Rattus norvegicus: one gene and its partner. Each later gene encodes a partner of the first gene's protein in a complex. Links are inferred from orthologs where the notes say so. Each region holds a gene or a part of one and is shown in the gene's direction. Other genes may lie near its edges.

Region 1 (4,398 bases):
TTCCAGACTACAGCATGAGATGGAACCTGTGTTGTACATCCCTGCTCTAGCCTTCTGCCCCTAAGGCTACAAGGCCATAGGATTAATGGAGCCAAAACAGTATCTCCACAGAGAATGCTCTAGGCATCTGAAACTTCTGTCCTAAAGGCTAAGTGGGCTTCCAGGATCTGTCCAGTGCTCTAGCTAAAGTTCTTTTCTCCTTTAAGGTGGACATTGAAAAGGATGCTTAGAAATAATCCTTGGATTGTCCTCTAACATTGGACTAAAACACAGTGGAAAGCTTTCTATGACCTTTCCAAAACAAATTATATTTTCCCCAGCTCAAAGTAATTTTGTCCATATCAATCACAGAATATCAGGGATTTATGTATAGTGATTCAAGTCCTTTTATCATAGGCAGAATCCCGATACATACCATAGGCTGGCCTGGTCCTCAAAGAGATGCTCCTGTCTGTTTTTCTATGTGCAGTCTTTACAGATGAATGGCTGCAGACCAGGCTAATTTTCTTGATCCTTTATACTTTCTTGATCCTTTATACATTTTTGAAAAAGCAAAGATAGATCAAAATTTGAAATCGTTTTTAATCAAGCGACTAGGTGCATAAGACACCCCTTTAAACGTATGGTGATGAGTTCACGCCTAACTAATCTCGCCAAAACATAAACACACTTTGACAACCATAAAGATGACTACAACTCCCAAAATACACCGCGGGACCAACGTGTGTACCTTCCCCATGTTCATCTTTCAAGTGGTTGAGCTGAGGGACCAAATAAGAGAACGGAGAGGCAGCTGAACTACACTGGGAGCCACGGCCTTCGGGCGAGCGACGTTAACTGAACGCCAGGAACCCTTCGTTCTTGCGGCACACGAGGACTGTGAGGCTGCCCGCCTGCGCTTGCCTCGTCGCTGCGGCCGGTTTCTCTCCGAGCCTTTTAATGGTCCGTGCTAAGAGGCTAACGGAAGAACGCTTTGGCGGGAAATAAGAACTGTCAACGCGTTTGTGGAACATTAAGATCGCCCACTGCTCACCGTGGCCATGGAACACTTTCCCGGATGAAGTCTCGCAGATTCTATAACGGATTTTAATGGGTGAGGGGCTCGACTTCACATAAGACTCAAACACCCTCAACCCCCGCCCCCAGCCCTTTTCGGGCTGACAGAATGAGTCCCTACACTTGGCTTCGCCCTAGACCTGTCCACGCATTCGGACTTCCCAGCCTGGCTCTGGTCAGTTGACAGCAAGTCCAGAGTTGACAACCCGCCATTCAACATCCGCCCTACAAATCCGGAAAACAGTTCAGCAACAAACACCACTGCTCCATCAACCTTCTACAGACAATTTCTCGCGGAGCAGGGAGGAAAGCTCGCGAGACTTCCCCGCCCAACAGAGATTCCCGAGCCAGGAGGCGGGGCCGAAAGAGGAGGAAGTCCCTCCTAGGCCGGCTCACCTCGGCGCCGCACTCCTCGCGAGATCGCTGAGGTCTGACTCTCCGGAAGCGTGTTTGGCCGTAGGTACTATGCATTGGACTAATCGGCCGCCGTAGCCCCTGCTAGGACAGCCCGTGCGAACCTGCTGGAAGAGGAAGAGAAAGGCAGAGAGAGTCGGGTTACAAGATGGCGGATCTGTAGTAGTAACCGCGGCGGGCGGCGGCAGCGGGAGAGCGAGCGAGCTCTGGGGAGCAAAGGGAAGGGAAGGTGATTGTGCGCCGGGGTAAAGGGAGGGGTAGCGGAGACCACGAGCGGAGGGTTCTCGGTGGCTCTGGCCACCCCTTCTCGCGGCTAAACCTTTGGAGCCATGGTAAACTCAGGCCTCTCCGGAGTCGCTGCCACCACCGCCGACGCCGCTACCGCCACTACCGGGTCTCAAGAGTGAGGGGTACCGGCGAGGTGAGCGAGGAGGTGGCGGCTGGAGCAGTGGGCCAGTAGCCACTATGTCGGATACACGGCGGCGAGTGAAGGTCTATACCCTGAACGAAGACCGGCAATGGGACGACCGAGGCACCGGGCACGTCTCCTCCACTTACGTAGAGGAGCTCAAAGGGATGTCGCTGCTGGTTCGAGCAGAGTCCGACGGTAAGGTTATTGGAACGGTGGGATGGGGACCAGTGCATCGGTTGCGACACAACCTGAGGTTTAAGCTCTGGGACTCCAGTATTCTGACTAGCACCACTAGGGACAGCACATTGGTCTTGAGCCTGCCCTTCCTTACGATAAAAACAAACTACTGGGCCTGGATTTACTCTCCGTCAGACGTGGACTCGAGGTTCCCCGCCTCTCTCCCTGTTAAGGATTTGACTCCTTTCCCCTCCAATCCCCGCTCGGTTGTTGAAATTTAGAATGTGATGAGTGAGGAGTCAGTAGAAGACCACATAGTAGAAGACCAGATAGGAATCTCGCCCATGAGATCTGACACGGATCCCCGACCCGCTTTAGGTACAGTCTTGCCGGTTGAATGTGTCTACTATAAAAGGTTTAGTGAAACTTTTCTGAGTGCCTCAAAAACAGGTTTCAGTTGTTCCAATCGACAGGTGCTGGGGAAAACTAAAACGGACTTTTTCTTGAAGTTAGACTATTGCCACGAAACACACAGGCACATACATCTTTATTTTCTGATCTCTCCAAGGCTGCCATTGTAGGGAGTGAAAAAGCGGGTTCCACAATCTCAGCAAGTTAGAATACTAAAGCAGACTGTAAAGTTGTATTTGCTGATTGCAGAATTCATAGAAACCATTTTAATATTATTAAAGCTGACAGACATAATAAAGTGGCTACTACTACCTGTACTCAAGAGCTGCTCAGTTGGAGCAACTAATACATGCAGGTAATATAAGAATAACAATGTTAGATTTATTTTTGGCAAATCTTAAACTAGTGCAGAGTCCCTTTTAGTAGACAGCAAGTCCAGAGTTCTTTCTACATTATGTGGGGGGGTTGTTCATTGTCAAAGGAAAAGGATAAGTATAATTTGTATGGTAAGTCTCTCCAAGGCCCTTGTAATTTGTTTTGTTAGACAGGAAACAGCTTTTGTTAAAGTTAGTCTTGAATAAACCAAAATACATTTGTATTCAGATGTTCAGTCAAGGAGACATGGAACGTTTATTAGTTGTGTGCTGTTGAAGGTTTTATAATTTGAGTCTTTTTTTTTTTTTAACTCTTTCAGGATCTCTACTCTTGGAGTCAAAGATAAATCCAAACACTGCATATCAGAAGCAGCAGGCAAGTAGTTGTTTATCTGTAATTTGAAAGACTTCATCTGTGATCCAGGATGTATTTATATGACAAAGATGGGGATACTTTCCAGACAAGAAAAAAAGTTTGGTAACTAAAATTAGGTACCGTATGTATTTTCCTTTCAGTTTGAGAGTCTCAAGCTGAAAAGTAGTTTTTTATATTGGTGATTTAATGTTGTTTGTTAATTGAGCCATTGTTTGTATTGCAATGTGATGTATTTTGGTCTTTAAAGTAAGCCAGGTCTCTCCATATACTCTACACTAAACCTTTCGTTCTGAGTCCCATTTGTAAGAAATGACTTAAAAGAAGATTAAGAGTGTTCAGTTTCTACTATTAAGAAAAAAATTCAAAGAGATTCTTTTAAAACAAAGGAGAGCCTGTTTGTGGTGTAAAGTTGGATCCTTTGACCAAGGAGAAGGATTTTTTTTTAAGTAATGTTTAAGTTCTGCTTTTAATTATATGCATATTTTAACATAATAAATGGGTACTTTAAAATATACATATTGGTATTCATGAAACATTTCTGGTTAATATTGTCACTTTGGAAAAGAAAATCTGTTTTAGTATTTCTAATTAGTTAGCATAAATCATCCTTTCTTATCTGTGAATGTTTTCATTTTTATTATGAAATACTATCAATATTAAATAGTATAGAGGATAATATAATGGACTCCATTATAACACCATCAGATTTAACAACATTAACGTATTTTCAACCTTTTGTAATGTTTAACATGGATAGAGGTAAAATCCTTTGTATCTGTCCCATTGTGTCTATTCTCTTCTCTCCCTATGGTAACCTGATCCTGAAATTGCTGTGTATTCTGTATACATGCTTTTATACCTTTCTTGCATATGTATGTATCCATAAATAATATGTAGTCTTTTGTGTGCTTTTAAACTTTACACTATTGATACCATACTTTACATGTATTAGAAATTTGCATTTTCACACTTCTTTTAAGATTTATTTATGTTAATTAGGGAGGTTTTTAATGCTGTATTGTATTCTGATATATGATATACAACTGGGAGTCATTTGGTTTATTTTGTGTGTGGGTGTGGTGTGATATGTGTATGTAAATAAAGTCACAATGACAGGCTTTGGAAGGGAAAGACATTATTTTAGGTTTATACTTATTTATAGCATCAAGTCTACCTTT
Region 2 (2,472 bases), on another chromosome or scaffold:
GCGGTAAAGCCCTTGCCTAGGGAGCGCAAGGCCCTGGGTTCGGTCCCCAGCTCCGAAAAAAAAAAAAAAGAAAAGAAAAGACAGTGCTGAGTTCAGTCAGAGAAGACATTGTTTGAAGAACCCACAAAGTAGCAAAAAGAAAAGCTGTACCAGAGCCCATTCCTTATGTTGTAGATGCTGGTTACAGTGCTGCATCCTTTAATCCCAGTACACATGAGACAGACAGACAGGCAAATTTCCTGAGCTTGAGACTAGCCTGGGTTACACATCCAGGCTAGACAAGGATACATAATGAGGCTCTGTCTCCAAAACAAATAAAATGTAATGCTGACAAGGAAGGACCAGCACAACCCTTTGAAGGTACATCTGGGACCATCATGCCTTAGGCCTCGTCCTTACTGTGGATAGTGTGGGAGAAGGGAGTGAGGTCAGAGCTCAGTGTTCTGAGGGACAGAGACCTCCCTTTCAAGAATATGTGCTGTATTCTTGAGAAGGAGCCACAGGGAGAGTCTCTACTGAAAATGTCCGAGCCTGCTTGGAAGGACTTACTTGGGAAGGGGGTTGAGAACTTGGACTCTGTTCAGTTGGCAGCAAGGAGCCATGAACAGATGTTGAGGCGTTGAGGCATTGAGGGGTAGAGGTTAGTGCTTTTTGACCAAAATCATGGGGACACTGCATACTTCCTTCTGTCCCATGGAGGTTCAAGGACTACCTCATGTCCTCCCTCCCTCCAAAAAAGGTCAGGAATTGGGCTGGGCTGGCCTGGCTGTGGTGACCCTGGTCTTCTCCTGTCTCCAGAGAGATCTTGGTAGAAGAGAGCAACGTGCAGAGGGTGGACTCGCCAGTCACAGTGAGTATTCTGTGTCCTAAGTTGATGAGAGGCTAGTAACCCCCCCCCCCCCCCCCAGGCCTCTGCTACTCCTCAGTCTTCAGGTGAGCCTCAAAGGAGGAATTAGATGGTGGCCAGAACTTGCAGCTTAGTGGTGGGATGCTTTCCCATTGTGTATGAGACCATGGGTTAGCCTCATGACTACAAGAAAAGATGCTGTAGGATGCTCATGTCCACGGCAGAAGAATTTAGTCTGTGGCTCAATGAGCATGTGCTATAACTCTGCTGGGCACGTGGGCAAACAGAGATGAAGCCAGGCTTCTGAAGCTGTGAGTCTCCCAGGGAACATGTCTTCTGCGCTGGAGTAGGGGAGGGTGATGGATGGATGACACCAGAACGGGTTCATCTGGGGCTGGAGGGTCCTTACTTGGTCCTGAGATGGAGTGAGAGAACCTTGGCTGGCATGGACAGTAACAGGTGTTTTGAAGGATGCTTTCTGGGAACAAAGGGTTTGTGCCTTTGTCTGTTCTGACAACACGTTTGTCTTTTCTAGGTATGCGGTGACATCCACGGACAATTCTATGACCTCAAGGAGCTGTTCAGAGTGAGTTAGGGAACACTGGGGCTGTAAACTAGGGGTGACTAGAAGATATGATCATTGAGAGGCCTTAGGCTGCTTGGGCTTTGGGTGACTGAAGGGGCTCAGCTCTTTGGCCTTGTAGTGGGAGGAGATAGTTTGGGGCCAAGCAGAGCCATATCCCTCCTCCCAGGTAGGTGGCGATGTCCCTGAGACCAACTACCTCTTCATGGGAGACTTTGTGGACCGTGGTTTCTACAGTGTTGAAACCTTCCTCCTCCTGCTGGCTCTTAAGGTGAGGACCCTTGGCCCCTGGAACCTGAGCCTTGGCCACTACTTGCTGCCCTCATCACCTTTCCTGTCACCTCCTTGGAACTTTGCTGTGGCTGTGGACTGTGTGCTTAGCGGGGCTGGTCAGACTGCTGTCATGAGTGGGGCCGTCTCCTGAGCCCTTGAGGACGAGGCTGGTGATGTGAGTTCTGGGAAGTAGACAGGCTGTGTGTTCAGGAAGCAGCAGAAACCGAGTAAACTGGGAGAATTCATTGGTGAGGGGCCACAGCGGGGTGGGGATGGGGTGCTAAGGATGGAGTCTGAGTCCGGCAGATGAGAGGAATCATTAGTCTTTTAATGCATCTCTAGAAAAAGTCCCCAAGAGCCTGTGAGGCAGGGATGTCTCGATTTATGTAAGAGACTGCAGGAGTCTGGGCCACACAGATCCTGGTGAGGGCTGAATGAGGCTGGTAGATGAGTGGACACTTGGGAGGGATTAAGTGGGAAACAGACTAGACCCAACCTTGGCTTGATGCTCCCCCTAGGTTCGATATCCTGACCGAATCACTTTGATCCGGGGCAATCATGAGAGTCGCCAGATTACCCAGGTCTATGGGTTCTATGATGAGTGCTTACGGAAATATGGTTCAGTGACTGTATGGCGCTACTGTACTGAGATCTTTGACTACCTCAGCCTGTCTGCCATCATTGATGGCAAGGTAGGTTGGCTGTGGATCTCCTCAGGGGTGGGGCAGTGGTGGGTCAGTGGTGGGTCTCTGGGCTTCCACCTCCCTTT

What was found.
Region 2: Ppp4r3b (region 1) and Ppp4c share a complex: the UniProt entries of both Homo sapiens proteins name them as parts of the PP4 complex. The link is inferred for Rattus norvegicus from reciprocal best matches to the Homo sapiens genes PPP4R3B and PPP4C.

Annotation. Positions count from the first base shown.
Region 1 is NC_086032.1:107,116,545-107,120,942, forward strand, and holds the start of Ppp4r3b (serine/threonine-protein phosphatase 4 regulatory subunit 3B), read left to right. Parts: upstream 1-1,588; 5' UTR 1,589-1,935; coding exon 1,936-2,077; intron 2,078-3,164; coding exon 3,165-3,220; intron 3,221-4,398. UniProt on the Homo sapiens protein: Regulatory subunit of serine/threonine-protein phosphatase 4 (PP4). May regulate the activity of PPP4C at centrosomal microtubule organizing centers.
Region 2 is NC_086019.1:190,824,998-190,827,469, reverse strand, and holds part of Ppp4c (serine/threonine-protein phosphatase 4 catalytic subunit), read left to right. Parts: intron 1-739; exon of another isoform or gene 740-798; coding exon 799-850; intron 851-1,382; coding exon 1,383-1,433; intron 1,434-1,599; coding exon 1,600-1,701; intron 1,702-2,221; coding exon 2,222-2,395; intron 2,396-2,472. UniProt on the Homo sapiens protein: Protein phosphatase that is involved in many processes such as microtubule organization at centrosomes, maturation of spliceosomal snRNPs, apoptosis, DNA repair, tumor necrosis factor (TNF)-alpha signaling, activation of c-Jun N-terminal kinase MAPK8, regulation of histone acetylation, DNA damage checkpoint signaling, NF-kappa-B activation and cell migration.